4 linked regions of the Diceros bicornis minor genome follow. The protein of the gene in region 4 purifies or fractionates together with the protein of the main gene of each other region. This does not show direct contact. Links are inferred from orthologs where the notes say so. Each region holds a gene or a part of one and is shown on either strand. Other genes may lie near its edges. The genes, in order: POLR3E, POLR2G, POLR2M and GPN3.

What was found.
Region 1: the proteins of GPN3 (region 4) and POLR3E purify together in Homo sapiens (affinity purification with mass spectrometry; 3 studies listed by BioGRID and IntAct, counting the BioPlex papers as one, with this or other methods). This does not show direct contact. The link is inferred for Diceros bicornis minor from reciprocal best matches to the Homo sapiens genes GPN3 and POLR3E.
Region 2: the proteins of GPN3 (region 4) and POLR2G purify together in Homo sapiens (affinity purification with mass spectrometry; 3 studies listed by BioGRID and IntAct, counting the BioPlex papers as one, with this or other methods). This does not show direct contact. The link is inferred for Diceros bicornis minor from reciprocal best matches to the Homo sapiens genes GPN3 and POLR2G.
Region 3: the proteins of GPN3 (region 4) and POLR2M purify together in Homo sapiens (affinity purification with mass spectrometry; 3 studies listed by BioGRID and IntAct, counting the BioPlex papers as one, with this or other methods). This does not show direct contact. The link is inferred for Diceros bicornis minor from reciprocal best matches to the Homo sapiens genes GPN3 and POLR2M.

Annotation. Positions count from the first base shown.
Region 1 is NC_080765.1:31,056,445-31,064,304, reverse strand, and holds the start of POLR3E (DNA-directed RNA polymerase III subunit RPC5), read right to left. Parts: upstream 3,155-7,860; 5' UTR 2,421-3,154; coding exon 2,351-2,420; intron 1-2,350. UniProt on the Homo sapiens protein: DNA-dependent RNA polymerase catalyzes the transcription of DNA into RNA using the four ribonucleoside triphosphates as substrates.
Region 2 is NC_080770.1:10,374,159-10,382,148, forward strand, and holds the start of POLR2G (DNA-directed RNA polymerase II subunit RPB7), read right to left. Parts: upstream 3,191-7,990; 5' UTR 3,094-3,190; coding exon 3,082-3,093; intron 2,949-3,081; coding exon 2,839-2,948; intron 1,945-2,838; coding exon 1,785-1,944; intron 391-1,784; coding exon 340-390; intron 233-339; coding exon 167-232; intron 65-166; coding exon 1-64. UniProt on the Homo sapiens protein: Core component of RNA polymerase II (Pol II), a DNA-dependent RNA polymerase which synthesizes mRNA precursors and many functional non-coding RNAs using the four ribonucleoside triphosphates as substrates.
Region 3 is NC_080744.1:52,976,402-52,984,426, forward strand, and holds the start of POLR2M (protein GRINL1A), read left to right. Parts: upstream 1-4,810; 5' UTR 4,811-4,922; coding exon 4,923-5,035; intron 5,036-6,799; coding exon 6,800-7,447; intron 7,448-8,025.
Region 4 is NC_080774.1:8,983,680-8,991,138, reverse strand, and holds the start of GPN3 (GPN-loop GTPase 3), read left to right. Parts: upstream 1-4,256; 5' UTR 4,257-4,335; coding exon 4,336-4,383; intron 4,384-6,936; coding exon 6,937-7,045; intron 7,046-7,459. Other genes in the region: protein FAM216A, read right to left, coding at 2,095-2,135, 3,494-3,585. UniProt on the Homo sapiens protein: Small GTPase required for proper localization of RNA polymerase II (RNAPII). May act at an RNAP assembly step prior to nuclear import.

The sequences.
Region 1 (7,860 bases), on a different chromosome or scaffold from region 4:
CTATCGTGGAGTCAAAAAGTCAGCCCACCATATACCCCATGGGCAAAAAAAAAAGAGAGAGAGAAACAACCAAGCAATGGGTACAAACAGGTGGACTCAAGTCACCACATCAGCTGCACCTGGGGGAAAGAATAAATGACTGGTTTTAAGTGTTTTCTGACCACTCACAAAGAAGAATTCACCGCCAGGCAGGAAGGAGGCTGGCGGGTCCACAGCCACAATGAAAACGCTTGAGAACTAACTGGGGGCCATGGGGAAGCTTTAAAGACTCCCGCGTCCAAGAGGACGAGCAGATGGTCCCACGGCTTTCCAGGCTGTCTCTGTCTCTGGTATTTGATTTTCAAGCTGACCTGAAGCCCAACCCAGAGTGAGATGCTTCTCCTCTGTGTGTGTGTGTGCGTGTGTGCACGTGTGTGCGTGTGTGTGTGCGTGCGTGTGTGTGTGCGTGTGTGCACGTGTATGCGCACGTGTGTGTGTGTGTCTGAAAATGACCCTCTTTACATACTTTTCTCTAATGTGTCCCACACAACCCTGTGAGTGGCTTGATTGTCCCCACTTTATAATGAGGAGACTGGAACTCGCAGGCACTTTACGTGTCCTACCCAAAGCCACACAGCAAGTAAGAGGACCCGCTGGACTTCAAAGCCAGGCCATCCGACTTCAGGCAGCAGGTACAGGTAGGGGAGTTCAGAAGAGGGAAGGGAAGGGGTCAGGCGGGGCGTTTGGGCTGGGCCTTGAAGGGTTAGGACAAGCCACGAGAGCAGAGGGGAGGAGGGATTTCAGGTGACAGGAAGCACTCAAGTACCTGGAGGAGGGAAGGCTGCAGGTCTCCATGGCGGAGGGGAACTAATTCAGCTGGGCTGACCCTTCCTTAGAAAGGCGCCTGGGCACCCTAATATCTCAGCAGTCCCCAGACCTCTACTTTCGAGTAAGACCATCATGACTTTTATCTTATCTACTTAACATTTGAGCTATTTAATATTTAAATATTCCTTCACCATGGGTGGCATTCAATGTCATCTAAGCCCCCTGCCCGTGCACCACCACCTGAAATCACCTCACTTACTCCAGATACACGTTCCAAACTCACACTGCTCAGGCTGAAATGCTGGCCTCATCCTTGATGCTTCTCCTCCTCTCATCCCACACCAGCAAATCCCGTCAGTTCTCTCTTCAGAGGATGTCTGGAATCTGGCCCCCTCACCACCACCGCCCCAGACCAGCCAGCTCCATATCTTACCTGCATTACAGCAACAGCCTCCTAACTGGTCTCCCTGCTTCCACCCTTGCCCCCTACGATCTTGGCTCAACCCCACAGCCAGTGATCCTTTGGAAAGCCACCTCAGATCACGTCACTCCTCCATCTTCAAAGGCCTCCCTCCCATCACACTCTGAATAAAAGCCAAAGTCTTTACGACCCACCCCCACCCCAGCCCCTTTACCTCTCAGACCTCATCTCCCACGGGCCTCCTTCCCTCTTCTCTCCTCCCCCCTCCCACCCCACCTCTGGGCCTCTGTAACTGGTCTACCCTCCGGTCACCTCAGGATCCCTCCTCCTCTTTCTGGTTTTTTTTTGTTTTTTTTTTAATAATTTTATTTATTTATTTATTTTTCCCCCCAAAGCCCTAGTACATACTTGTATGTCACAGCTGCACATCCTTCTAGTTGCTGTATGTGGGATGCGGCCTCAGCATGGCCGGAGAAGCGGTGCATTGGTACGCGCCCGGGATCCGAACCCCGGCCACCAGCAGCAGAGTGTGCGCGCACTTAACCGCTAAGCCACGGGGCCGGCCCATCTCTTCCCGGTTTTTGCTCAAATGTCACCTCATGGCTAAGACCTTCCCTGTCCAACTAACTCAAAACTGCACCCCGCCCCACCAACTCCCTTCCCTGCTCTGGCTTTCTCCATAGCACCTATCACCATGTGACCGTTTATAGCTCTGTGTTTATTATCTGTCCCCAGCCCCACTGCCACTAAGTTGGAAGTGCCTACAGGAAGGCAGAGATTAGCATCTATTTGGTCCCTTGCTGTACCCCCAGTGCCTAGCACACAGCAGGCACTCACCACATATTTGTTGTCTGAAAATATGAATCACAGGAATGCTATTTAATAGGGAGCTACCAAAGGATTCTGAGTAGAGGAAAATCTGGAGGGGATAAAAAGACAGACTAGAGGGAAGCAGGCCACAGCGACAGTAAGGAGATGGAAGACTGGGTGAAATTAGAAGCCCCAAATGGACAGTTTTAGGTGGCTTCTAAGCCCCAGACAGAAGGTGACGGATGGGAGAGCCCAAGACCCCACCCCTTCTGCACTGCCTGCCAAGACCACAGATGTACGTCAAGCACCTACCTTCTCTACGGCTGGCTCTGTGCACAACTGAGAGACTGGGGCCTTCCAGGTGAGCCAGGGAACAGATCATATGTACTAAGAGGGTGCGGCCTGGGAGGTTCCCAAGATGCAACTATTCTCCCAGAGACAGGCATTCCGGCTCTTGTGCTCTGCTGGCCTCTCCCAGTCACGGAGGCGCTCAGGGAGGATGAGGTACCTTGAGCTGGAGCCCCTCCCTCTGGATAGTACATCTGATTGGGTTAAGGCAGGGGTTAACACCTCGCTTCATCCTCCCACCCAATATCAGCCAACTCAGTGGCTTCCAAAGTTTTCAGCCTAAGACCCACAGCAAGAAGTCCATTTCACATAAGCAACCCAGAACATACAACAATTATGTAACTAAAACAAGGTTTCACACAGCCATGACTGTCTCTACTACATGTGATGCAGCGACGTTTTCTACTCTTGCTCGTTAAAATTAAAAATGCTGGTTACAATCCCAAGCTGATTTCACATCCCACTAATAAATCTCAAACTGCAATTTGAAAGGTACTGCACCACAAGTCTCTCTGCAGCCCCTCTCCCACCTCCAATCCTTTCAGAAACAGCCAAGAGTTGTTCTTGTAAAAAAGTAAATCACATCATGCCCCTGCTCAAAACCTTTCAACTGTCATATACAATAAAATCCAAACTCCCTTCCATGGCCCCAAGGCCCTACATGATCTTGCCCCGCTTTACCTCACCATCCACTTGGCCAGGTGGCCACTTGCTGGGCCTCCAACAGGCGAAGCCCCAGCCTGCCTCAGGACCTTTGCACAACATCTATTTTCCCCAGGTCTTTTCAAGGCTGGCTCCTTTTCATTAGCTATCACCACCACCCCCTCCAGGAGGAGACAGATTCCTTGATCACCCCATCTTAAAGAGCCCCCGCCCACTCACAACCCCTTCCCAATCACTACCACATCTCCTGATTTTATTTCCTTCGTGGTTCTTATCACAATCTGAAACTATCTAGTCTGTTTGCTTATGTGTGGTCTATCTTCTGCACTAGAAATAAGCTCTGTGAGCGTCTCTCGGTGCTTCAGTTTCCTCACTATAAAGTGGAGATAACTACTCTTACTTCATCAAGTTGTTATGGGGATTATCATCTCTTTTTTTTTCAAACTCACACTATGTTCCCATACCTAGAACAGTGCCTGGCATGAAGCAGACACTCAATATAGTGCAAAGAATAACTGAGTGAATGAGTGTCTAAAATCAGGAGGTCACAGAACCTCAACACAGTGAGCCTAACTCAGCCCCATCCAGAGACCGGGGGCCTCATAGTTTGGGCCACATGGACACTTAAGAACAGACAGGGGCTGTGGCGCAGGCCAGAGCAGGCCTCCCAGCCACCATGAGCCAAGCTCTTCTGATAGCAATGACCACCTTGGCCTCAACAGGGGTCCTGTGGCCACAAGGCTACTCTGTGGCAGCGGCTCCATGGCCCTAGGCACAGGAAACTTCCCTCAACAGGGAGCTGCTCAACAAATGGAAAGGAGACAAGGACACCAGGTGGAGCTAAGGAGGGGTCCAGAGCAGGGGATGCCACAGTTGGGTGCATCCATGCTGCCCCCAGGAATCTAACCTGTCAGTCAATCAGAAAAGCAGAGGCAACTCCAAACGGATCTCCAGCTGTTGGAGGGAGTGAGGGAGGTCTGAGAGGACAAAATACAACGGAGTTAAGGGGAGAAGTCCCCAGGGCAAATGGTCTCAAGGCCTGGCTTCTAATTGGCTGTGTACCCCTTGGACAAGGCATTTCCCCTCGCTGGGTCACCTCAGTTTCCACATCTGTTAAAGGAAGACTTGGCCTAGGGGACAAGAAGAACTAATTAACCCTTAAGTGAGTGTCAGATCCTTCTCTATGGATTTCACATACATTCTCATTAAATCTTCTCAATAGCCCTATAAATCAAGATTTATCATCCCTAATTAAGAAACGAGGAAACTAAAGTTCAAAGAGTAAGTAGCTTGCCCAAGGTCACAGTGCTAGAGAATGGCAAGCCAGATTCTCCAGTCTAGCCGTCAAAGATCCTTATTCTCATTCTTAACCACTATGCTGCACATGTTCCTAATAAAAGGCAGTATGGTATAGTGGGTAAAAGCCTGGACTCCAGAGCAGAACTGCAAAGGTTCAAATCCCCTGTCTGCTACCCACCATCTGTGGCCCACTCGGAACTGTCTGATGCTGGTTATCCTTCACTGTTTTCATCCCTAAAAAGGGGATAATAAAAGTATCGACCCCCAGAGGACTGTGGTGAGGATTAACCACGATGATAAATGTAACCTGTGGGAGGATTTGTTATTACTTGGCAACATATTTTCTTTTACTCTAAGAGGGTATGAGATTTAGCCAGAAATCAAATGCTGCAAGCTGGAGCTTCTCCTGTCTTAGCCGATTTAGCCCTCACCACAACCCTATGAGGTAGGAAATTCTACTATCCCCATTTCACAGATGAAGAAACCGTGGCGTCTGCTAAGATCTCCTCTTCCTGCCCCCAAGACCAACGATTCTAAAGCTAACATAACAGAACGACCTTGTTTATTGACTGCTTTACTTGACGTGCTTACTGACCCCTCCTCCGACCAAATGGTTAGGGTCGTATCCGCGGCAGTGTTGGCTCCCAATGATCACTGAATGGTGACTTCATTAAATGAATCAGGAATCCCGGGCCCGGCCGGGCGGAGGCTGATCTGGTTCAGCGGCGAGGAGGGGGCCCAGGCAGGCTCGGGTACCCTCCACCTGCCCATCAGGGCGGGCCGCCGGCCCCGAGCCACATTGTCCAATGGGTTTCGCCTCCCTCGCGGGTGGGCAGGCCCCCTTCTCACGCCCACCACGCAGCCATCGCCACAAGTCTCCACGCCAGCTGGACGCCGGCTGCCTTGGGACAGGTGCTCCTGCAGGAGGCCCATCTGGGCCGGGCGGGGCACGGCGGCTGGACCCTGAGTCACGACCGCCGGCAGCCTCCGCTGCGGCCCCCACGACTCCCGGGCCGGGCCCAGGTCGGAGCCCGCGGCCGGCCGGGGTCTACTGGGGCAGGCTGCCCATCCTTCCCGCCCGGCCCCGGAGGCCCCCAGTCCCTGGGCACGGCGCGGCGCGGGCCTCCCGGCCTACTCGGCAGCCCAGCCCGGGCCCACCTCGTGAGTGCGGCCCGGCTCAAGCCCGGGCGGGGGCTGTCAACTCGGCACTCACCTCTCCGCGGGGCCCGCGCGCGCGGGCGGCGGCAACGGCCCAGGTACCCGCGGGCTGCAGAGGCGGCGGCGGCCCGGCTCTCCTCTCAGGCAGCGGCCATGTTGCTGCTGGAGAAACTCCGGCGGACACGTGGGGGGAGCCGCGCCGGCCCTCGCGCTTCCTTTTACCCACAATGCGCCGCCCCGGCTCTCGCGGTCCGCCCCCTCCGCCGCTCCATTCATGGGGCCCGCCAGCCCGGCCCGGCAGGGGGCGCCCATGCACCGGCAAAACAGAGCCGAGAACAGCCGGGTGCCAAGGCAACAGCGACAAAAGAAGCTAGCACTGGCAGCGGTGGGATTCGAACCCACGCCCCCGAAGAGACTGGAGCCTTAATCCAGCGCCTTAGACCGCTCGGCCACGCTACCTAGCTGACGAAGCAGTCTTCCAGGCGTCTATTTAATGGCATTACATGCGCTTGCAGTGCATTTTTTTCCTGGAGTTTCTTTGTTTAATATGTTTTATTTGATCTTGATAGAACTATTTAGAACATGCCATGTATTTTTTAAAAAATGTTTGCTCCAATATTTAGACCCAGGCTTGTTCCAAATAGGTTTTAAAGCGAAGAGCAGTTGAAGAGTCTGTATTCTGAGTCGGGTGTTTACCTCGGAGACCTCAGGTTAACCCACTGTACTGGGGGTTATGTATCTTCCCAGAAATGATGGATTCTGGAAGTAACCCGCACCAGGGGATCCCAAGGACAAACCAGGGGAGCTGGTCTCGGCAGTTTTTCTGAAAAACTATGTTTTAATTTTTAGTTACACAAATAATACGTGAAATTTTGCAAAATATTAAAACTTTGCAGACAACGCACAAATGCTCTTCTACCTTTGACCCCCATCCTAAGTTCCCTCAATAGAAGTAACCATTATCATCAGCTTGGTATATATCCTTCTGGATCTTTTGCTGTGAATTTATATGGATATATTGGCATGGGTATATGCATCCATAGAAAATAGAGGTTTTGTTTTTATTGGTGTGGGTTTTTACATAAATATTATCATGCTTAGTATTGATCTGCAATTGACTATTTTTTACCCGACTATATATTTTAAATATCTATCCATGTTGATGTATATGGATATTTAAAAATACTGAAAAACAAAGAAAAAATAATCATCCATATTCCCACCACCTAATATTGTGTCATTTCACTTCAAATCCTTTTCTTAACGTATATACGTTTTGTTAAAAGTTACACAGGTAATGGTATGAATATGTTGTCCTTTTAAAAATCCATTTAAAAATAATTAAACCATTACAAATGAAAATAAATCCCCCTTCCCAAACATCCTCCCTGGCTATAACTGTTATCATGCATTTGATGTGTATCCTTCCAATCTATCTCTTATACTTTCACATCTATACATGAATTTGTGTGTGTGTCTTCAATATATTTTTCACTTATATAAACATTACTCCATCGTATCAATATCATTATCATTATCAATATATCAATGATATCAATATCATTCTGCAACTTGCCTTTCTACTCCTTTTGAGGTTATTATGACACATATAGATCTAATTTATTCCATGCTATGAATATGTACATTTAAGTTCTTTATATTAAGTTAAATTGTTATATTCAAGTTTCTGGTTAATATCCAGTTGACACACCCTAACATTTGGGCATTCCATATTTTTTCTTCTCTTCAATTCCTCTTGAACCAAGTTTTCCTCCATTTACCTTTAACAAAAGTATCAATATGAAAAGATTTCATTGAACTAGGAGAGTTTGTTGCTTTTAAAGGAAATTTTTAAAAATACAGAAGCAGCCATCTATTGAGGACACAGACCAAGCATTGAAGGGGATTCAAAACTAAATGAGGAACAGTTCTTGAGATCAATAGAAGCATTGATCTAGTCATGGGGTTTTAGTACCAGGAGGGAGTGTATTTGTTTGTGAGTCGTGTGCAGTATTTTCCAAAAGAAAGTATCCCCATTGTGAAGAAAAATTGCTGGAATCTGCCTAATCCCACTTTTCTAGGAATTGCTTGACCAGCCCAGAGAATGGGTCCCTGGCAGCCACCTTCGTGCTGTGCATTCCTGCCCCACACCATGGCCAGTGGGCTCTGTGGTAGACATAGGACTCAGGTCAGATCAATCAGATTCTCTTTTGAGAATCTGAACTGAGACGTGGTGACTTTCTGAGTTGTTAATTTGACTGTTTTAAGTGTTGGAATCAGTTGTATTTCAGGTTGTTGGAATTAGTCTCTGATACTGACTGGATCTAGAGAGAAAGGGGGATTTGGGGTGGCCA
Region 2 (7,990 bases), on a different chromosome or scaffold from region 4:
TCTTGTCCACGCGAGTCCCCACAATCTTCAAGCGGATCTCATCGTCCTGCTGAATCACAATGTCCTAGGGAGGAGGGAACAGTGTACTGAGACACCTCCAGGCCAACAATCTCCCCGAGAGTGGTTCATTCCCTCCTCCCTCACTGACTTCTTCCTACCCACTCACCTCATCCACGGTCTTGTAACATGGTGGGTTGGAGTTAGGATCAAACTCCATCTCTGATGGGATGGACTGAAAGGAAATTGGGACTGGGTCAGCACTTTAAATGGATGCTTCCATAGATGGTCATGCATGGGTGTCTCTCCTCCTTGGCCCCCGCCCAGCTTGCCCAGACTTACATGTCGAGAGATAAAGCAGGACATAGGTCCAATTTCTGTGAAGAGTCCAACCTAGAAGGAAAATAAGTGACCTTGCTTTTTCCTTTGTTCCCTAAAGTCTTCTAAGCTTCCCATCTTTATCTGATTCCTAATGATATTCTTCATGTGTTGAAACCACTCTGAATTGTAGCATTTGTTTTATTTCTCTCTTTTTTCAAGCTTTCATTTTATGTTAAACAAATACAGGGTAGTAGTAAAGAGCTGAGGCCTGGGACTTGTCAGTACAGGATTTGAACAAGTTGGTCACATGACCTTGGCCAGTAGACTTAATTACTCTAAGCTTAAGCCTCTATAAAAAGGGATAAAACGTGGGGCCAGCCCAGTGGCGCAAGCGGTTAAGTGCACGTGTTCCGCTGCGGCAGCCCGGGGTTTGCCAGTTCGGATCCTGGGCATGCACCGACGCACCGCTTGTCAAGCCATGCTGTGGTGGCGTCCCATATAAAGTGGAGGAAGATGGACATGGATGTTAGCCCAGGGCCAGTCTTCCTCAGCAAAAAGAGGAGGATTGGCAGATGTTAGCTGAGGGCTGATCTTCCTCACAAAAAAAAAAAAAAAAAAGGGGATAAAACGGGGGGGACAGCCCGATGCTGTAGTGGTTAAGTTTGCTCGCTCCACTTCGGCAGCCCAGGGTTCACGGGTTTGGATCCTGGGCACGGACCTATGCACAGCTTATCAAGCCATGCTGTGGTGGCATCCCACATATAAAGTAGAAGATGGGCACGGATGTTAGCCCAGGGCCAATCTTCCTCAGCAAAAAGAGGAAGATTGGCAACGGATGTTAGCTCAGGGCTAATCTTCCTCACCAAAAAAAAAAGGGATAAAACCAACTACCTCTGGGGCCAGCCCCGTGGCTCAGCAGTTAAGTGCGCGTGCTCCTCTACTGGCGGCCCGGGTTCAGATCCCGGGCGCACACCGACGCACCACTTCTCCAGCCATGCTGAGGCCGCGTCCCACATACAGCAACTAGAAGGATGTGCAACTATGACATACAACTATCTACTGGGGCTTTGGGGAAAAAAATGGAGGAGGATTGGCAATAGATGTTAGCTCAGAGCCGGTCTTCCTCAGCAAAAAGAGGAGCATTAGCATGGATGTTAGCTCAGGGCTGATCTTCCTCACAAAAAAAAAAAAAAACAACTACCTCACAGAGTCCTTGTGAAGCTTTGCACATTACTTGGCCCACAGTAACTACTCAATCAATGGAGGTTACTGTCGTTATGACTATTAATACTGATTTACATGCCCCTGAGTGAGGCAGGGGGAGATTACCACAGCATTTGACAGGTGAGGAAACTGAAACCCAAAGAAGTGACTTGGCCAAGGACACAGAGTTAGCAAGTGGAGTTGGGACCCATCCCACATCTCCTGAGGGACCACCCCACTGCCTCCCCTGTGTATGGTCTCACCTTGTTGACCTGAGTGACAACAGCATCCACGACCTCCCCTTTAAAGGGCCGGAAAACAATGGCCTTGTACTTCACTGGATAAAGGACAAAGCCTCGTCCTGGCTGGATCACACCAGCACCGATATTGTCGATGGTGGTGACAGCAATTACAAAGCCGTATCTGCAGGGAGGATGAGAAAGAGAAAGGCACTGTGTGTGAAGAGCCTCTAAAACCATCTACAAGAGTCAGTGAGCCTGAGGGTTGAGGGACAGCACAAAAGGGAAGTAGATGGCACTCCTGCCCCCAGAGAGCTTAATGACCAGGAAGAAGACAGGACTCTGACTGGTATCTATAATGCCAAATGCTCCTCTCGTAATTTCACGATCAATGTCCAAGAAGGCTGCAGTCCTTGAGCCAATACACCTCAATCTTTGGGATGCCTCAGAATCACTTGGGAGGAACTTATTAAAATGCAGACTCCCAGGCCTGTCCCCAGAAAGTCTTGATTCTGTAGGGGTGAGATGAGGCTCAAGAACCAGCATGTTCAAGGAACACCCCAGGTTATTCTGATGATGGAGGCCCAAGTACTCCATAGCCCTGGGCTCACTGCAGCTCATTCACAACACCGTGTGAGAGGCACCTCTTGTGCAGAGGCCAGAGATGTGCCATGCCAGGTCCCGGGGCATGGGGGACAGAGAAAGCTAGCAGAATCACAGAGGGAGAGCAGACACAGGATCAGTCATTAGACTGTGAGCTCCATGAGGGCTAGCCTCATTCTGTCTTGTTCACTGCATTGTTCCCAGGGCCCAACACAGGACCTGGCACGCAACAGGAGCTTTAAAAATGCGGAATAAATGAATGACCAATTTCAACTGAGGGAAGTTAAGTCTTATGATCCAGCTTTGCAGAGGGCGTATGGGAACCCAAAGAAGAAAGCAACTGACTGCCTGGGGCGCCTGGGAGGGTGAGAGGGTTCCCCAGAGTAGGTGGCAGGCCCCTGCAGGATGAGCAGGAGTTGGGGCATAGGGCGCCGTGTGCGCATCGATCAGGCGGCACGGAGGGCGCGGCACTCACTTGCCGGTGCAGGTCCCTTCCACCTCGGTGAAGAGCTTCTGCTTCACTGTGTTGAGCAAGTTGGGGCCGAAGTAGCGCGGGTGCAGCAGGATCTCGTGCTCCAAGGAGATCTGCGGGGGAAGTGGGATGGAGACCAGGCCAAGCGCGGCAGGGATATGGGGCAAAAAGCGGCCCCTTACCCCGGCGCCCCGCCTCCCTCCTCCCCTCGACTCTGCCCTCGCCGCCACCCCGCGCCCTGCTCACGTGGTAGAACATCTTCCCAGATGAGGCGGGAGACCAGCAGAGTCTAGACCTGCCGCGGCAGCAGCGCCTCCAGATCAACCGCAAACACACGCAGCAGCCGTAACCCCACTTCCGGTCCTGCCCCAGCGAAGTGGGCGGGACTCTGCCCCCTCCGCGGACCCAATTGGGCCTCGTTGTCGTGGGAGGGGAATCCATGAGGCCCCGCCCCTCGCCCCGCCCACCAGCAAAGAGCCCCACGCGCATAAATTAACAATGCTTGAACTAGAATAGAGGTTCAATACATACTTTTAAACAGAATTAATTGATTAATGAAAGCTGGCATAAGTAAAGCGCTTTAGTAAAGTGCATTCATTCAGCAAATATTTGAAGACTGCCTTCACGTAGTAAGCATAGCGAGTAGCTGTTCTTCTCTCATTGAATCCATACAGCAACCCTGTGAGGCGGGCTTTATTGTTATTCCCATTTCCAAAGGAGGTCGCACGCTCAGAGGGTTGAGGTCACTCAGGGCCGGGATTCAAATTCAGTATGTCTGACTCCTAGACTCTTGCATATTCAGGCATTCTAGATATTATTCATGCTCTCATTTGTTCAACAAATGTTTATTTAGCACCCACTCCTTGCCAGGAGCCGGTAGTTTGGCGATAAAGCAGCCAAAGTCAGACCCCAGAGGGCAGCGCTCCCTCCCAGTGTGAGAACTATGTCGCTATGCTCCTCCTCATCCCCAGCCCCCTGCCTCACACCCACACACACACCCACACCCACACGGGACCTAGAGAACCTGTCAGCCCTTGTTTGTTCCTTCAACTCTGCCTACATTTTTGTAGATGGTCCCTTATTAAATTTACCTCAGATAACCAGAGTCAGCGTGCAATATGTTCCCCGCGGAGACTCTGACTTATAAAAGGGCCATGCAGAGAGAGGCAGAAACGCCATGAGACAGACCTATGAGAGAGGCTCAGCAAGAGCATCTGGTTCTAGAGTCAGGGCAGTCTATGCAGCCTTGAGCAAACTCCTTGTTGCCTGAGTAAGTTTTTGTATCTTGGAAGTAAAAGAGCCTGACCTACCCTCCTGCAAGAACAGAGGCCAGTTCCCATTGATGCTGCCCATCTCCTAGAATGGTTGAGGCCGCCAGTCAGCTGCTCAGACTCCACGGGGATCCCTTCTGCCCATGATCAGGCAAGGAAGCAGATGAGTGGGCCTCCATACCCCTGACTCCCTCCTCTCTTTTTCAGGCCAGGCTCCCTGCAAGGGCAACCTTACCTGCTGACAGTGGTGTGCTGGAGCTGACTGTGTAACCATGGGCCCTCTAGGACCAGTTCAAACTGACCCCATCTTATCAACAGAAGGTTTTTCAGGGGCAAGCAAAAAATTTGCAAAGTCACATAGCCCAGAGGAGAAAATCTTGACCTGAAACCCAGGAACCAAAGGACCAGGACACGACCGGAACTCAAAAGTTAGACTCTTATCAGAAGCAAGGTGTCCGTTGTCTAGGAAGATCTCGTGTTAAAGCCCCTTCCACACCTTACCATAAATGTTTAAAGCCCTTCAGTCAAAACCTGCCCTGCCAGCATTTCCACATACCAGCCTGTTCTCCCTAACCTCTTAAATTTCACCCCAAATCCTGAATCAGGGAGACAGATCTAAGAGCTTATGCCTTCTGTCTCCTCACAGATTGATCTCGCAATAAAGCCTTTTCTTTTCTCAAAAGCTGATGCTGTAATAATTGGCTCTTTATGTGCATCGAGCAAGAGAACCCCAATTTTGTGGAGTAACAACTACAAGAGCCAATTGTTAATATTTCACGAATTTTGCAAGCCAGTGGTTAAACATGTTACTGGTACATTGGGTTCTTGTTGTCCCCCAGGATGGAAATCAAGAGAGACAACGAGCAGGAGTAGGAAAGTAAAAGTTTATTAGCTTGTGCATAAGAGAGGCACAAGGGAACTGGTACAGAAAGGAAAGGGGCAGGCAACTGGCTCGTTAGGGAGCAGGATTGTGGGGCTTTTATTAGGCAAAGGCTGGGGAGGAATCCCTTGTCATGGCATGTAGAGGTGGGGTTGTGCTTGTGCCTGTGCTGTCTCGTAGCATGCTGCTACATGTGACGCATGTATCATTAGTGTGCTAGCTCTCCACCCCTGGGTGTGATTTTTACTATGCTAATGGAGCTAGGCACCTTCAGTGGACTCCTGGGTGCTAGGGTGCAGACATAAACCCAGGAAAGTCCGGAGGCTGCGGAATGTGGATCTTGTTGGCCTCTATCTGATTCTCTTAGCTTGCCAATTGGTTAGGGGCCTTATCTTCTTAGGCCAGGGGCTTTGCAGATGGCCCTGTCTCACTAGGCTGGTTCCTGTCTCAAACACAGCCATTATTAAAAATTTAATTATTTTAACTTACAATGAAATGAATTATATTAAAAAACAAAGAAAGAGGTATAAACGAAACAAGTTTGGCAATATATTGATAATTGTTGAAGCCAGATGACAGATAATGGTGGTTTATTATACTTTTCCATCTACTTTTGTGTGTTTGAAATTGTTCATAATAAAAAGCTAGGAAAAAACAAAGGTAATTGTGATATTGTGATTTATAATAAGAAACATATATTTGGTCTTCGTCTCTGTTCTTAGCACAGAGCTCCTAAAACACTTAAAATTTCCTAAGAGATGTGGAAATTAATGAAAGAAACCTTAACTAAATTGTACTCAGGAAGGCCTGTAGGGGGAGGTCTCATGCCCTATCACACATGATCAATTACACCAAACAGGAAAAGATGGACAGGAAGTAAAACTACTTTACTACTGATGGAAGATTTCTCTCCCTACCAGGGAACAGCCCAGCCAATGTGAAATGCCACAGCTCAGCCAATGAGAAGCTGTTGCTGCCCTGAACTGTCACTTTGCCCCAGTGGGCTTTCCTTTAGAACAGCCCCTTCCTACTCGCCTTTTCCTCTATAAAGGCTGCTCCTCTTCTTTGTGGGATTTGCCTATGGTTTGCCATAGCATGCACTTCCCAAATTGCAATTCTTTTTTTTTTTTTGGTGAGGAAGATCAGCCCTGAGCTAACATCCGTGCTAATCCTCCTCTTTTTGCTGAGGAAGACCGGCTCTGAGCTAACATCTATTGGCAATCCTCCTCCTTTATTTTCCCCAAAGCCCCAGTAGATAGTTGTATGTCATAGTTGCACATCCTTCTAGTTGCTGTATGTGGGACTCTGCCTCAGCATGGCAGGAGAAGCGGTGCGTTGGTGCACACCCGGGATCCGAACCCGGGCCGCCAGTAGCGGAGCGCATGCACTTAACCGCTAAGCCACGGGGCCGGCCCCCCGAATTGCAATTCTTTTAACTATTCCCAAATAAATTCGTTTTGAGGCTTTTCCAGTCAACAGTGATAAGAACAATAAAGATGTCTTGATAGCCATAATGATACCCCTTTCTTTTTCTTTTTTCTTTTTTTTTTGGTGAGAAAGGTTGGCCCTAAGCTAACATCCATTGCCAATCTTCCTCTTTTTGCTTGAGGAAGATTGGCCCTGAGCTAAGATCTGTGCCAATCTTCCTCTATTTTGTATATGGGACTCCGCCACGGCATGGTTTTATGAGCGTGCCTGCAATCTGAACCCGCAGGTGGCAATCTGAACCCGCAGGTGGTGGAAGCGGAGTGCCAGAACTTAACCACTTCGCCACCAGGCTGGCCCCACTAACCCCTTTCAACCACACCTGAGGTTATGTTAATGAGGTGACTTTTGGAAAGAACCTTAGGATGGGGACTGGTTGCCAGGAGAACCAATAGTGTGTGATTGGAGGGTTGGAACTTTCAGTCTCACCCCCGACCTCCAGGGAGGAGAGAGGGTCCAGAGGTTGAATCAATGGCCAATGGCCAGTGATTTAATCCATATGCCTGCATAATGAAGTTTCCATAAAAACCCAAAAGAGTGTGGTTCGGAGAACTTCCAGGTTGGTGAGCACGTGGAAATTTGGGGGGAGCGTCATTCTCAGAGAGCATAGAAGCTCCGCGCCCTTTCCCCATACCCTTGCCTCTCTTCCATCTGGCTGTTCCTGAGTTGTATCCTTTAATAAGCCAGTAACTAATCCAGTAAGTAAAATGCTTCAATGAGCCGCTCTAGCAAATTAATTGAACCTAAAGAGGGGGTCGTTGCCAGTGGGTCAGAAGCACAAGTGACAACCTGGACTTGTAATTGGCATCTAAGGGAGGGGGCAGTCTTGTAGGACTGAGCCCTTACCCTGTGGAATCTGACGCTATCTCCAGGTAGACGGTGTCAGAATTGAGTTAAATTGTAGGACACTCAGCTGGTGTCCAAGAATTGCTTGGATGTGTGGGGAAAAAATCCATACGTTGTAATTGAAGTCAGACGCATTAGTAATAAATACTCAAAACTCATCACTTCCTAATTATTTTACCACCATTTACTATAATCAATCCTCTTGAGGTTATTTACATCTATTGTGTCTGTGTGGTGTAAATATTATCTAATTGTATATGTAGGTATGAAAGTTGCAGTTGCTCTGATATCCTCAGCAGCCCTTGGTATTGTCATAGGGTTTTTTTGTTTGTTTTGTTTTGTTAGCTATTCTAATAGCTGTGTAGTAGTATCTCATTGTGGTTTTAATTTTTCATTTCCCTAAAGACTGATGATGTTGAACATCTTTTCATGTGCTTCTTTGCCAAGAGTGATCTTTTCAAAACTCAAGTCAAATCATGTCACTTTCCTACTTAGAACCCAATGGCTTCCCAAGGCCCTAGAATAAAGTCATCACCCTGGCCTACCAGGCAGGGGACAGATCCAGCCAATTCCATTTTCCACCTCTCTTCCTCTTGCTTTCTCCATTCTAGCCGTATTGGCCTCCTCTCCCACCTTGGGACCTATGCACTTGCTATTTCCTCCGCCTAAAATG
Region 3 (8,025 bases), on a different chromosome or scaffold from region 4:
CAAAAGTTTCCTCTTGCCCCCTCGTAATCCATCCCCCAGCAGTTTCCTCTTGCCCCCTCGTAATCCTTCCCCCCAGCCTCTCCCTGCCACCTCACATCATTAGGCAATCACTGATCTGCTTTTGGTCACTATAGATTAGTCTGCATTTTTAAGAATTTTATATAAATGGAATATTTAAAAGAATACATACTCTTTTTTTCCTAGCTTCTTTCACTCAGTACAATTGAGATTTGTGAAGTTGTTGCATGTTGCATGAATACCATAGTGTTCAATTGTATGGATATACTACAATTTAATGTTTATCCATTCACCCAGTGATAGACATTGAGTTGTTTCTGGTTTTTGGCTATTGCAAACAAAGCTGCTATGAATATTTATGTACAAGACTTTGTATGGACACATGCTTTCATTTCTCTTGGGTAAATACCTAGCAGAGGAATCGCTGGGTCATATAATAGGTTTTAAGAAACTACCAAACTGTTTTCCAAAGTGGTTGTGCTATTTTACATTGCCATTGGCAGTGTATAAGAGCTCTAGTTGTTCCACATCTTTTCCAACACTTGGTATAGTCAATCTTTCTAATTTCAGACATTCTGATAGTTGTGTAGTAGCATCTCATTGTGTTTTTAATTTGCATTTTCCTAATGGCTAATAACATCGGTGACCTTTCATGTGCTTATTTTTCATCTATACATCTTCTTTGGTGAAATATCTGTTCCAATCTTTTATAACCTAATCTTGGAAGTGACACCCCATCACTTCTGCCATTGGTATTACTTTTACCATATTCTGTTTGTTACAAGTGAGTCAGTAAGTCCAGCCCATATTCAGTTGGAGGGGGACTTCTCACTAGGGGGACCATTGGAGGCCATCCTAGAGGCTGCCTACCACAGATGGCTTCCCATTTCTCTTGGAATAAAATTCAAACTCCATATCTTGGTCTACAAAGCCCTGCAAGATCTAGCCCCAGCCTTTTTAACTGTTGTTATTTGAGGAGCTCTTTCTCCTTTTAGAGCCTGAGTATTTGTTCTTCCCTCTACTTGGGATACTTTTCCATCAGATTTTCCTATGGCTAATTGCTTCTTGACATTCAGGTCTCAGCTTATAAGTTACATCCTCAGAAAAATCAACCTCAATCACCCAATCAATCAAGGTGGCCTCCCAATTACTCCTTATCACATCACCTGTATTAATTCTCCATGTAACACTTTAGTACTATCTGATGGAATGAAAGTTTCAATGTGGCAGGAAACGTGTCTCATTCGTCACTATATCTCCAAAGCCTAGAACAGTGTCTTACACACGATAGGTCCTCAATAAATATTTATTAAATGAACCAATGAATGAGATCTCCAAGGAGGCAAAATGGATGGGATCCAGAGCATAGATGGAGGGATTAACCTTGAATAATGTCCCCATTACTATTGCTGTTTAACAAACCACTCCAAACTTAAAAGTATGAAATAATGACCATTTTATTATGGCCCCAAATTCTGTAGATCAGGAATTCAGAAAGAGCCTAGTGAGGATGTCTCTGCTCCAGAGTTTCTGGGGCTCCAACATGGAAGTCTGGAAGGCTGGTAGTGACTTGACAGTTGGGGGCTGGAATCATCCAAAGGTTCGTTCATTCACACGTCTGGTGGCTGATGCTGCCGTTAGGCTGAGACCTCAGCTTGGACTGACAGCCGAAACACCTAAGCAAACTCAGGTTTCTGCACGGCTTGCTGGTTGGGTTCCAAGAGTAAGCACCTCAGGAAAATTAGGCAGAAGCTGCATCATCTTTTACCATGCAGACTGGAAAAATCACTTTTGCTCTAGTCATAAGCATGCCCAGATTAAGGATAGGGAACATCAACTCCATTTCTTGAGAGGAGGAGTGTTAAATTCACATACTAAGAACATGTGGGACGGGAAATATTTTTGCTGCCATTTTGGTGTACTCCAGGTAAATTGTGACCAGTTTTGTGGCCGTTCACGCCCCCAAACTGACAATCATTGGGAGAAAACAGAGAAGAGCAGCCTGCAGACTCTGAAGATTAATGTTACAATTTTACAATTGATTGGCAATTGTTATATTCAACTCTGTAAGGACAAATGGAAATCTTTCCCGGGTTTTTCTGTTTGATTTTGTCATCTTTAAATCACATTCAAACACTGTCCTTGGGCAGGTTGGTGGAAATGGGATGGCTAAGTCATCCAGGCATCACTTCATATGCTGATGAAATTTTCCTTTCCTTTAATTCTTCGTTGTGAATTTTTCTTTCTTTGTAACAGCCAAGTTCATTAGTTTACTCTGAGGGCAATTAACACTCAGGTGATTAATCCAAGTATCATAGGAAAACATGATTTAGAGTTTTTTAATGAGTATTGAAAAACAAAACCCAAAAACACTTGTCTAGATTCAATTTTGTAACAGAAGGGCTCTTTGACATACAATTGGAATTCTTCAGCGGAGATTAGCTGCCTGTGGTTTGTGGGTCCATTTCTTTTCAAGTGTTTTGCCCAGTTTGGCTGGAAACAGGTAAACATTTCTCTGCTTGTGAAATCTCTCCATTTTATATCCTTTTTCCCCAGAAATTGCTGTTAAAGTTTGCGTTCTAAATACTCATCTTTGTTTGTTTGACAGATTATAAAAGAATATGTTGCCTATTTTCATTTTGAAGCACAACTAGCCTGCTTGGTTACTGAAAAGAGAGCTAGACAGTTTGTGCATAGCTGTGGTTAGGAACTCAGATTTGTATTATGACATCTTGAGTCCTAAGCTATGTTGTGTAAAAGATTCTATCCCATACCACTGAAAATATCTTCACAGTAATTATGGTTAATACTTACAGAAAAAGCTTAAGGTTTGTATACACAAAAAGGACTTTCATTAAGAGAAAGAGGAATATGGAGTAAAAAAATTATGAGAGGGAGATCCTGTCAATTCGTACCCGTTATGTGCATTAGGGGGAGACAGAAAAGTACAAACCCAGCTCTCTGACAGAATTCCCTGACTTTAAAATTTTGTTAGAAAGGAAAAAGAAATCACCATGCATAACACAATGAGAGAAGCATTATATGTTTCATATTGTCAGGTTCATAGTGAGGTTCTGACTGTAAGCACTACAGTTATGCTCAAAAGAAAGAGCAATTTGGGTTGGAAAAATCTAAGAAGGCTCAGGGCGGAGGTGAGACTTGAGCCAAGATTTATAATGGGGTGGGGGGAAAGGGACAGCCTTCCACAAGAGGACAACAGCCAGGGGCAAAATTCTGAGGCTTGAGAGAAAGGCATCCTCGCCTTGAGGACACCTGTGGCCCAGGATCTTAGAAGATGGGGATGACTACTGTGGGGGAATAAAGGCCTCCAGCTGCGGCCAGAGACAGGATGAGGGAGCCTTTGGGGGAGCTTGCCAGCGGGACAACTACCTGACTCAAAGGCCTTACTCAAGTATTTCTTCTTTAGCCAGGGCTGGAGCAGGTATTGAAGTCCTTGAAAGCTGGGCTTATGTTGAGAATTTTGATACATTAATCTGATTAGAATGGACTAGATTGGGAGGATATAGAAATGACTTCAACTGTGCTCCCTGGAGTAGCTTCTGCTTTTATCTAGAGCTTCTGTCTGATTGGGAGGGAATTGCTTGTGTTTATTATAGCACTTGACATAGGATTAGAAAATTTAAATTTTCCATATCAAAGAATGGGGAGTTGGAGTTTATGGGGGTGTTCAAACTTCCCAATCGATATCTGTTGCAACTCGTGCATGCTTCCTACTCAATCTTTTGGGACATGGCTCTGTTAGCTGAACTGTAAAGAGAAGGTAAGAGCTGGCTGTGATGCTTATGACACTTCCTTCCTCTTCTCAACAGCTGGAAAGAAACTTTTCAACAATATTATACATTTGGAAATAGGCATAAAATGAAGAAGGAGGAAATTTCCAAAGTGGTGTGGTGGAACGAGCAGCTGGACATTTGAGTTTGAAATCTGATGTGTCACTGACTTGTTTGGGGTCCTGGGAATACTTACTTCAGTTTTTGTGCCTCTGTTTCTCTATAGGCAAAATAGGGAATTGTGAAAGTGATTCTCAGCTGGCTTGGACAGCTATTTCCACCCCCTTCACCTCTCATGGGCCTTGGGAAACGTGTGTGTAGGGGTCAGGAGAGCCGTTTGGGGTTGTTACAGTGACTGTGGCAGTAGCAACTAGTGGGCAGAAGCCAGACACCAACTGTCTTTCAATGCCTGAGGCAGTGCCATAGATGAAGAAAAGTCCCGCTTCAAATGCCATAGAGCCCCATTAAGAAACGCCAATGGTCCCAAGGATCCTTCCAACGTTAACATTTGAGGACTTCACTAAGTCTTGGGCTAGGAGGTGCCATAGCATAGGCCAGGGCCCCTCAAACCCTGTCCTGCACTCCGCCCCAACCTCACCAACAGCTAGCTAACTCATCACTCAGATTTCACTTATATTTCACTTCTCAGAGATACCATCCCTGGTGCCCACCCCAATCTTACTATTACACTGTTTTCTTCTTACTTGATTAACGTCTGCCTCCTCCACCACTCGGTAGCCTGTCTAGCGGCAAGGGCCGTGGCTACCTGCCGAGGTCACGGTGGCACTCAGTAAATACTTTTTGAATACACACACGGAGACTGGACGCACATGGAAACAACCTGCACCGCAAAAGCGAGCCCAGCCGGGGCGTGACGTCACCCCGTCACTTCCGCCCCTTCCCGCCCCTCCGGGTGCCCCCTTCTCCTAGTCTGTGTCTGTTTCCGGCGTTTCAATAAAGCTCGATTCGGCTCGAAGACGACTTGTTCTTCCGGGAAAATGGCGGCTCCCGCTCGTGCCCCGGAGTCCCCGCCGGCCGCGGATCCGGCGCTAGCAGCTGGGGCTGCCGAGGAAGCCGCGTGCCCGCCGCCTCGCCAGGCGCAGCCCCCGCAGAATGTCCTCGCTGCCCCGCGGCTTCGAGCCCCAAGCTCCCGAGGACTTGGGGCAGCGGAGTTTGGCGGAGCTGCGGGAGATGTTGAAGCGCCAGGAGAGACTTTTGCGCAACGAGTAAGCTTGGCTCCCGCCCAGTCACTGCCAGGCTCCTTCGGTTCGGGCTCCCCGGGACGCGTCCCTCCCTTCCCTCCCCCCGTGCCTTCTCTGGAAGGTGACCTTGCCTCAGTCAGATTCGTCCCATCCGGCTGGCGAGTGGCCGGCCTACAGCCGCAGAGCCGACCGCGTCCCGGCCGGCGCGTCCCGGCCGGCGCGTCCCGCCCTTGGGGGTGGCTCCTGTGCTGAACGGCGGCTTGGCCTTTCTGCTCTCCGCTAGCTCCGCGTTGGTTTTCTTTACTCAGCTGCCGTGTCTGTTCCTCGAAGGAAGGCTCTGTGTACTACGTCCTTTTCTCCCCCTCCCCCATCGTGTCCCAAACATCATCTCAGTTGCATCGTTCGATCCTATTTGTACAGGAACCGTAGGAAATGGAAAGAGTGGGATATAAAGAGTGGTTTATTAGGCAGAGAAAGTTTGACTCTCATTCAGCTGGGAGACTTAACGGATTTTAGCAGGGGAACTATATAATGGAAGTAATTTTTTTTTAGGAAGCTAAATTTAGCAGCTTGGTGCAGGATGGTTGGAAGGAATAAGAGGCAGAAGACAGTAGGAGGATATCTTCAGAAAAGTTCCCAACGAGGGGGTTGTAAGAAGGCGAACTAGAAAGGTAGTTGAGGGATTGGAAAAACTACATTAGGCGTGGAATAATTTGAATATGTAGTTGACAGAGAGGGTTGAAGTTTCCAGCCTGTATGGAAAACCATTAATAAAAACAAGAAAAACGTGGAGAGGACTACTTCCCAGGTTGATTTTACTTAAGGCATGCTGAGTTAACTAGTTACCTGGTTAAAAGCTGCAGAAGTGGTCATGAGGCTCAAGAGAGAGAGGAGAAGGTTGGGAAAATACAGGAATCGCAACTGGAGAGAGATGTTACTAGTTGAAATTGTGAGAACGAATATAGTGCCAGAGAAAGAATAGAGGGCCTGAGATGTAACTTCCCTCCCCATTTATTGTTTAGCTAAAGACAAGGGAATTTGAAAAGTAACTTCTGTCATTCAGCAAAAGGGACGAACAATCACTTGGGTTCTTCCTAGTAGAGACAAGTTTTTTGACTTTGTGAGAATGAGTTTTTAATCTTTAGCAGTGAATTAACTTTTTGGTCCCAGGACCCCTTTGTGCACTTAAGAATTGTTGAGCATCCCAAAGAGCTGTGGTTTTATGTGTTATATATACTGATATTTATCAATGTGTTAGAAATTACAAGTGAGAAACTTTTAAAACACAAGAATACAAAAGCACACACATTCCATTAGCCATCAGAGCAGTGATATCCTCACATATCATGTGGCTTCTGGGAAGCTCCACTGTACCCATGTGAGAAAATGAGAGGGAAATGGCAAATGGTGTCTTAGTACTATTACGAAAATAATTTTGACCCTGCAGACTCATCCACCTCCCCTCCCTAGGAAGGTCTTGGAGATCACACTTTAAAAACTACTGATTTTTGTAATGTTTTATATGGTTCTTATATGCTTAAAATACTTTTGCTGAAATTTTAATTAGATGAGACAAGTGAGGCATATTCCCCATTCTTCCTGCATGTCCTTGTTTTTTTGAGGTATTTGGATAGTGACTGTCTTATTTCATTCCTGTTTTGGGGCAGTTGGAAATCAGATTTTTGACTTAAAGGTCAATTTTGGTCCTTTTGATGATAATGCTTTGTCTTTATATCTCACGTTTAAAACCATGGCTCTAATGTATACATGTTCTTTTCCATTTGACAGAAAATTCATTTGCAAATTGCCCGACAAAGGTAAAAAGATAATAGACTCTGTTGCCAAACTGAAAGCTGCCCTTGCAGAACGTGAAGAAGTTAGAGGGAAGAGTGAACTGTTTCATCCTGTTAGTTTAGACCATAAGCTAAGGCAAAAAGCAGTCGCAGGTGTGGACGTGGACACGGATAAGGCCCAGAACTCTGACCAGATCCTTGATACTTCATCACTAGTTCCTGGCTGTTCCTCTGTAGATAACATCAAGTCATCTAGAACAACCTCACAACAACAGGGACTTGTATATCCTACTCACAGAGGTGATGCAGAGGCTCCAGAGGTTGAGTACGCAGTGAACAAGTGCCCAGCTTCCAGCAGCAGAGACAGCGCGCCTTCCTCATCCAAAGCTAGCGAGCGTCTCCCTCAGCATCGTGTTTCAAGTCAAGCAGAAGATCATTCTAGCAGCTCTGACAACCTGTTTATTGATAGGTTACAAAGGATCACAATTGCAGACCCAGGTGAACACCACTCTGAAGAAAACACCAGTACTGAGAACTTGACAGGCCTTTGTAGTGGGACTCAGAAGAAGCCTCATTACTTGGAAGTGCTCGAAATGCGAGCCAAAAACCCAGTGCCCCCACCACATAAATTTAAAACCAATGTGTAAGTACCATCGGAAACAGGCTGTCATGGCAACATAGTATTTGTTAAACTCAAAAATTGGAAGAATGCTTTCAGTTCAGTGGACTTGTGCGTGAGAACTACTTGTGGTTAGGAATGAACATATTGTAAACAGACCAGAGGATTTATGTTGAAAAATACTTAAGCTTTTTTAGCCAAATAGTTGAAAAGATTTTAAATAGCAGATGGAGTATTAAATTTCGGGATGCTTAGGCAATATTTCATAATAAACACAGAGTTAGAGAATTTATTATGCTTTTTTCCCCGGAACCATTTTCTGGTATACAGCTCCCCCCTTTGATTAGACTGTAGGCTAAGGGAAAAGCAATCACAGGAGCTGATGGCCTTTCTCAGCAAAAGATATTTGCGTGCTCACTTTCTGTAAGCAGCAGGTGCTGTGGTGACACAGAAGTAAAGATTCTGCTCCTTAATGAGTTTGGGATCTGGATGAGGACCCAAGGCATACACACTTAGAAGGACCTTAAATTATATAATAACAACTTCAGGGGGAAGGGAACTGAGAAGGGATTAAAAAAACTGAAAACAGATTTGGTCAGGAT
Region 4 (7,459 bases):
AGCCATGCTGTGGCAGCGTCCCATATAAAGTGGAGGAAGATGGGCACAGATGTTAGCCCAGGGCCAGTCTTCCTCAGCAAAAAAAAAAAAAAAAAAAAAAAGGAGGATTGGCAGATGTTAGCACAGGGCTGATATTCCTCACAAAAAATAAAAATAAAAAAAATAAAACTTGAGACATATTCCCAGAAGAATGGAAACTAGTTTTCAGTTTCAGACATATTGAGACCACTAACTTAATTTAGGGTATAAAATTCACTAGCAGTTTGGGGAAAAACAATATCTGGCAAAATTTAATCGGGAAATAACTCTTTGTACACTCCTCTCCACACACCTACTCTTTCCAGGCAACTACTAATGTGCTTTCTATCACTATAGATTAGTTTTCATTTTCTTGAGTTTGATATAAAGGGAAACATACAGTATATATTCTGTTTTTGTCTGGCTTCTTTCACTCAACATAATTATTTTGAAATCCATTCTTGTGATATGTAACAATAGTTCATTCCTTTTTATTGTTGGGTTGTATTCCATTGCATGTATGTATAAACCACAATTTGATGATCCATCCACCTCTTGATGGACATTTGGGTTGTTTCCAGTTTTAGGCTATTACAAATAAAGCTGGCAGAATAGATTTTCAGTTAAAAGTTTGTACCTAGTAAACTCAATTAAATAAACACAGTTTCGTTTCAATATTATTGATAACAAAGGCCACTATAATCTTACATATTAAACTTTAAATTTAGTGATTTCTTCGAGATTTCGGCAATGGTTAGTGCAGATAAGTAAGACATATTTGCATACTCAAGATTTTGGATGGTTAGTGCAGATAAGTAAGAGTTATATTTGCGTACTGAAGGACTAGTTTGCCAACAAATAGAAAATCATCTGGAAATTATGTTATTATGACCCTTAAAACATAATTTGGAATCGGTAATAATGAATACCATTTCAACATTATAAAAGTTTATTTTTTAAAATCCTTTTTAAGTGATAAATGTGGGTTAATTATCTAAGAATATAGCTTTTGTGTCCTTGCTAATCAGTATTTCTGAGATGTATATTATAGCCTAGACTAAAATTTAATTCCACAAAAGCTTGATAGCATTTCTTTACAGAAAATGAAACATTTAAAAATAATAGTTAAACTCAACAACAAACAACCCAATTGAAAAATGGGCAAAGGACTTGAATAGACTTGGATGTCTCCAAAGAAATACAAACAGCCAATGAGCACATGAAAAGACACTCACTATGGCTAATCAGCAGGAAAATGCAAATCAAAATCACAATGAGATACCACTTCATACCTATAAGGATGACTCTCATCAAAAAAACAGAAAACTAGTGTTGGCTAGGATATGGGGAAATTGGAACCCTGTGCATTACTGATGGGAATGTAAAATGGTGCAGCTGCTGTGGAAACAGTATGGCAGTTCCTCAAAAAATTAAACAGAATTGCCATATGATCCAGCAATTCCATTTTAAAATGACCACATTATTTATATATGCATATATATGTATTTTTATATATATGTACATACACTCACATATGTGTGTGTTTTTCCTAGGTAACTGTAAGGACTATAAATTTTCCAAGGAAAAGTAAAGTGAATCCAGGTTTATATATCATTGAATTGAAATTTCTCTCTCCTCCAAAATTAGTGAGAGGCCTTTGAGGGCCTGTCTGACTCTTAACTCCAGCAACTCTATCGTTTATTTCAAGTGAGAGGAAAATAGGAGCACTGAGAAATATTTTATATTCTTTGAAGTTGTTCAGTTTAGATTTTTTCCTTCAATCTGCATATAAACCCCAGGCTGTGCTCTGTGCTTTTCAACCAACATCAGTTATAAACACTGTTCTTTTCAGATTCATTGCTATTTTGAAGTACTCTTTTTAAAATGCTTGATGTGAGATATCTTAACAGGAGAGAAAGAACCTGCTGGATTGTTCTTTGAAAATCTTAAAGAGTAAGTTCACCAAGGATGCTAATAAAGTCTATTTTAAAAACTCCATTGTGTAAGTGGTCATAGCTAAATTGGCTTCTCTGCACCATGTTATTTATAGGTATTTGCTTTATATGCTCTACTCACCAGTACCTTTGGAATTCTGGTAATAAGAATGTCCAGCTGATCTGTTAAAAAAAGGATTAAATAATATGTAATAATTGACAAGTTTATAAGCAGTAAAGAAAGTATTTTAAATGAAAAAAGGCAGTATTTCATATCCTTTTTACTTTTCATGTTTCCATCAGACAGAATGTCTTGCAAATTTTCTCTTTTAATTCTGGTTGTATCCTAGTGGCTCCAGGCTTTTTCAAAGTGAGTTAACTGAGATTTTTACTCTACTAGAAAGGATTGACTTTAAGCCAGATTTGGTCTTACTTTTATAGTCTCCTAATCTAATTCCTATGTTAAGCTCAATAAAGTAGTCTGGGCTTCTGTGCTATCCATGATATTTTTTTTGCTCTCTTTATTTTTAATAAAGTAACTTGGGTATGGAAAAGACTATCTTGTTCTTTATTGCATGTAATTAAAGTGTACTGGAACTGATAAGTTGGTCTGGAATGTCTCTAATTTTGTACAAGTTTTTTTTTTTCTTTTCTCAACTTAAGACAAAACACCCTTCCCTCCCTCTTCTTTCAATTTATTCAATGACCCAAAGTTCATTGATCTCTCGACATACTGGGATCCAGCACTTCACCAAGCACCGTGATGAACAGAAAAGAAACACAAGACCCCATCCCATCTTTAAAAGGTCAATCCGCCAGATACATATCAGCAGGAGCCATGACTGTGGGCTGAATTTAGAGAGGAACACCTGGCAACTCTAGATTTGGGGAATAACTGATGGAAGGGATGAGGAGGTAATGCCTTCAGCAACTAATCGTCTTCAGCATCCAGGAAATAATAGTGGACACCTGCTCAAAATGAAACGGATTTATGAAGGAAGGAATTTCTGTGGGAAGAAAATGTCAAGATCAAGGTGCCTCTAATATTCATAATCACTTGTCTCATTGGCGATTATGAATCCCGTTGACATAAAGGTGGCTAATGTCACATACAGGGAACTGAATTATTGACTTGGAAGCCCTCGGTTGAGCCGGAGGAATCTGTCCCCGTTGTCCCCCTACCCGCCTTTATGCAGAGATCCTGTGGCAAGACGGCAATTTTTCCAGTAGGTTTCGCAGCGCCCCCTCGAGGCAGAAAGACGTACGCAGGCGATTGTCGCAGTCCCTGCATTTAGTCATTGCACCAAACCCTCCTCCTAAGCTTCCCTCAGAAGCCCTTCCCCTAAACAGTGAGTCGGCTTCCATATTTCCCATCCCAGCCACCAAAAAGGTTCTCTCCTCCTCTCACTTCCGTGCACTGGGGAGCCAGCTCCCACTCCCTCCTCTACAGGGGGATCTCGACCCTGGGCTGGTCGCCGTCCTCCCTAACCCCTCAGTCTCACCCGCCGCCGCCACCCACAGTCCTGGCCCCGCAGTCTCACCCGCCGCCGCCACCCACGGTCCTGGCCACTGCGGGCGGCTCTGCGGAAGAGCTGCACTCCGTCCAGTCGGACACCGCACCCTGGCCGGGCATCTCCTCCCGGGTGCCAGGCCCGCGAGCTGTGTGCGGGAGCAGCTTTCCCCTTTCCCCTCCCCCGTCAGCACGCGTGCGTCAGGCCGGGCGATATTGGGGGTGAGAGGCGGATGCCGGATTCGAGCCCCTTCCGATGCGGTCCGGACACTGCCCGAATAGCTTCGGGAGAGCGGGGAGGGCAGATCCACGATCTTGGAGTTAAATTGGGGGAGGGGCGGGGGTTCTTTAGTTGATTGCGCGTTTGCACGTTTGCATCTTTTTGTGGAAGGGACGTGTCACGAGAAGGAAATATACATGCCCTCTAAAACAAGAAGTGACTTCCACCTCAGTATTCCAGACCCTCAGCAAATTTGCAAACCTCGAGTTCCATCATACAGGTCAAACGTCAGTACGCAAACCAAGGTCGAAAGCACCCGGCGCAGGGATGCTAATTGTTGTCGGTTATCCGTTATCACCAAGGCAACCCGGCTCCGCCTGTATCCCAACCGCAGATTTCCGCCAGCTACTTCTGCGCACGCGCAAACACTCCCCCCTCTGCCGGACGGCGCGTTTCACATGGAATTTGGCCTTCGGGACGCGCCGTAATCAGAGGTGTGGCGGAACAGAAGACGCAAAAGGAGCTTGGATTGCGATTGGTTCGCACGTCGTGTTCCCGGAACTCAGTGGGCGCCGCGCGAAGGCTGGAGGGAGCGTGGTGGTCAGACTGTTGGTGCTGTGGGACGGGAGGCGCCGGGAACCCCGGAAGCCGGCATGCCTCGATATGCGCAGCTGGTCATGGGTCCCGCGGGCAGCGGGAAGGTGAGGATTTGGCGGGAGAAGGAGAGAAAAGTCGGAGTTCGCGGGAGGCAAGGAGGTTCGGGTCCTGAGGGAGGGACCGGCGGGTGTGTGTATTGGGGACCCTGAGACCCTGAGCAGGCCGCCTCTGCAGCCTGGGCTTCAGTGTCCTTGTTGTTGTTGTTTTGAAAAGAGACTAATGATAGTTGCTAATATTGTATACTTATGCCCCAGATAGTGCGGTAAACGTCTCATTTATTTCCACAACAACTCAGTGAGATAAGTCTTATTCCCATTTTACAGATAAGGAAAATGAGACATAGAAAAGTTAAGTTCTTTGTCCAAGATCACACAACTAGTAAGGGACGGCTGGAATTTGAATCTGGTTTTATCTATCTCCAGAATCTGGCCCTGTCTCCCTCCCAAGAGGTTCAAGTGGCATCTCGTTAATCACTGTTTCTCAGAGCTTGAGACATGGACTTCTGGTATTTGAGGCGATTTTAGGAGGTACATGGGCCTGACATTAATGAGCATTGAATCATACATTGAGAAAGTTGCTCCCTTTTTAATTTTCTTTCAGTTTGCATTGAGGTGAAATTGTCAGTTTGATGTTAGTGTATCTTTTTTTGTTTTAAGATTTTATTTATTTATTTTTACCCCCCCAAAGCCCCAGTAGATAGTTGTATGTCATAGCTGCACATCCTTCTAGTTGCTGTATGTGGGACCCCGCCTCAGCATGGCCGGAGAAGCGGTGCGTCGGTGCGCGAACCCCGGGCCGCCAGCAGCGGAGCGCGCGCACTTAACCACTAAGCCACGGGGCTCTCCCTTATGTTGGTGTATCTTTAACACTTCTTTAATCCCCAAGTGTTTTCAGAGAGCAGATCTTAGACTCAGCTTTTGACAGGCAATTGTATTTAGCTTGAATGAAAAGAGTTATAAAGTTGTATTTAATTTTATGGTTACCTTCATGTTATGATAAATATAACTGGTTTTCTGTTTATGATAGACATACAGTTTTTTCTTGTAAACAAGTATTAAGGGAATAATATTAGGGACATTCAAATATGGTAGAAATGGTGAACGTATTAGTCAAATAACAGGAGTGTGGGAAACACCCGAGTCTGTGGAGGTGTTGTGTGGCTTAAATCTTTAAATTAACACATCGTTCTGAGGTTTGTCCTCAGTCTGGGTGTAGGAGTTATACATGTGACTATGATATGGCTCTTGCCTACCCAGACCTATAGTCTATCTGGAAATACAGATAAATGACTTGTCAGTTAACATACAGTGTGATGCATGGAGAGGGCCTCCTAGGCAGAGAGAACAGTATGTGTAAAGTCACTGAGGAGAAAGTGTGATAGAGGTTATTTCTATATTCTGGACTGCTTTTTGGACTGATTGTGTTAGGTAAGTATCTTTCTATAAATTTTTGGTGCTTATGATCAGAAATACTCATTGAGCATGTTCTTTGTGCCAAGCACTGTTCTAGGCCGTTGGGGATTGTGTTATTGAATAAAAGACACACACGCAAATCTCTGCCCTTATGGAGTTTATATTCAAACATTAAGTCAGTCGATTATAAATCATATTAAGTCAGTCGATTATAAATCATTATCAAGCATTTATTATGTATCAGGTACTGTGCTAGTTAGTCCCTGGACTTATAAAACTGCGTAAGACACATCCCAGCCTTTATTTTTTTTTTTTTTTAATTTTTATTTATTTTTTCCCCCAAAGCCCCAGTAGATAGTTGTATGTCATAGTTGCACATCCTTCTAGTTGCTGTATGTGGGACGCGGCCCCAGCATGGCCAGAGAAGCGGTGCCTCGGTGCGAGCCCTGGATCCGAACCGTGGGCCGCCAGCAGCGGAGCACGAGCACTTAACCGCTAAGCCACAGGGCCGGCCCGACACATCCCAGCCTTTAAGTAGAGGTTGGGAGAGACAGACAAGTAGCCTAGAGATTTTTAACGTAGTGTGGTAATGACTACATGAGGGATAAAGAATTCTGTAAACCAAAAGTTACAAATTGATAGCCCACCTCCATGCTATTTATTGACGTCAATGTTCTCTCATCATGGAATGCTCTTCCCCTGGTTTGGCAAGCGCATTCCCATCCCTTGGCTCAAATATCGTCTCCTCAGAGAAATCGTCTCTGACCACCCTACCTAAAGCCTTGTTTGGACTGTTCACGTCCTAGTGGAGACACTATGTGTTAGTTGCTGCACTGTGTAACCAGAAATGCTCCCTTTAAATTCCGCTCATTGCACGTTAGAGCAGGAAGGAGTCTTAGTGATCATGGAGGTCATCCTAGTTAGAGATGAGAAAATCGAGGGGCAGAGTGGAGAAGCAGCTTCTCCCAAATTACCCTTGAGTCCAAGCCAGTTCTGCAGCCCAGTCAGGTGTCCTGATTCCCAGCGCAATGCCTTTGCCCTTTTCAGACAGCTTTTTAGTCGATGAACACATAATTTTGGCCTTAGTAGACACTGCCCAGGGGGTGTAGAGAGTCCTTCTGGGGGTGCAGGCAGTAGCACTGCACTGCCTGTTGCTCTGACTCCTCATGCCTTGTGACATTGCAGAGCACCTACTGTGCCACCATGGTCCAGCACTGTGAAGCCCTCAATCGGTCTGTCCAGGTTGTGAACCTAGATCCTGCAGCAGAACACTTCAACTACCCCGTGATGGCTGGTGAGTTCTGAGCAGAGCCTTCCTCCTCCTTCAGGAAAAATAAGGGTCTGGGGACGCAGAGAGTGCTGGCTGCTCAGCACAGAAGCTAAAAATCAATTATTACAGTCTGGTCCCCTGTTTTCATGGTGAACAGCATGAGGCTGGGTATCATTTGGTGACATCCACTCGTGATGATGTATGTGTCAGTATCCTTTCTTGGTCTTTGATGTAAGAATTAAAAGTGAATAGACTCCTCCCTCACCACCCTTCCCTTCTGTGCCTTTCAGGCTTAGTCCTGCTGTGGTGAATTGGGTATACTGCTGATCATACTATTAGTGAGCAGCCTAAGTGCTTTGCTTTTTTAAATTCTTTTAATGTATTCATTCACATGTCTGTCGAACACTTACTTTATGCCAGACACCAGGGTTATAGCAG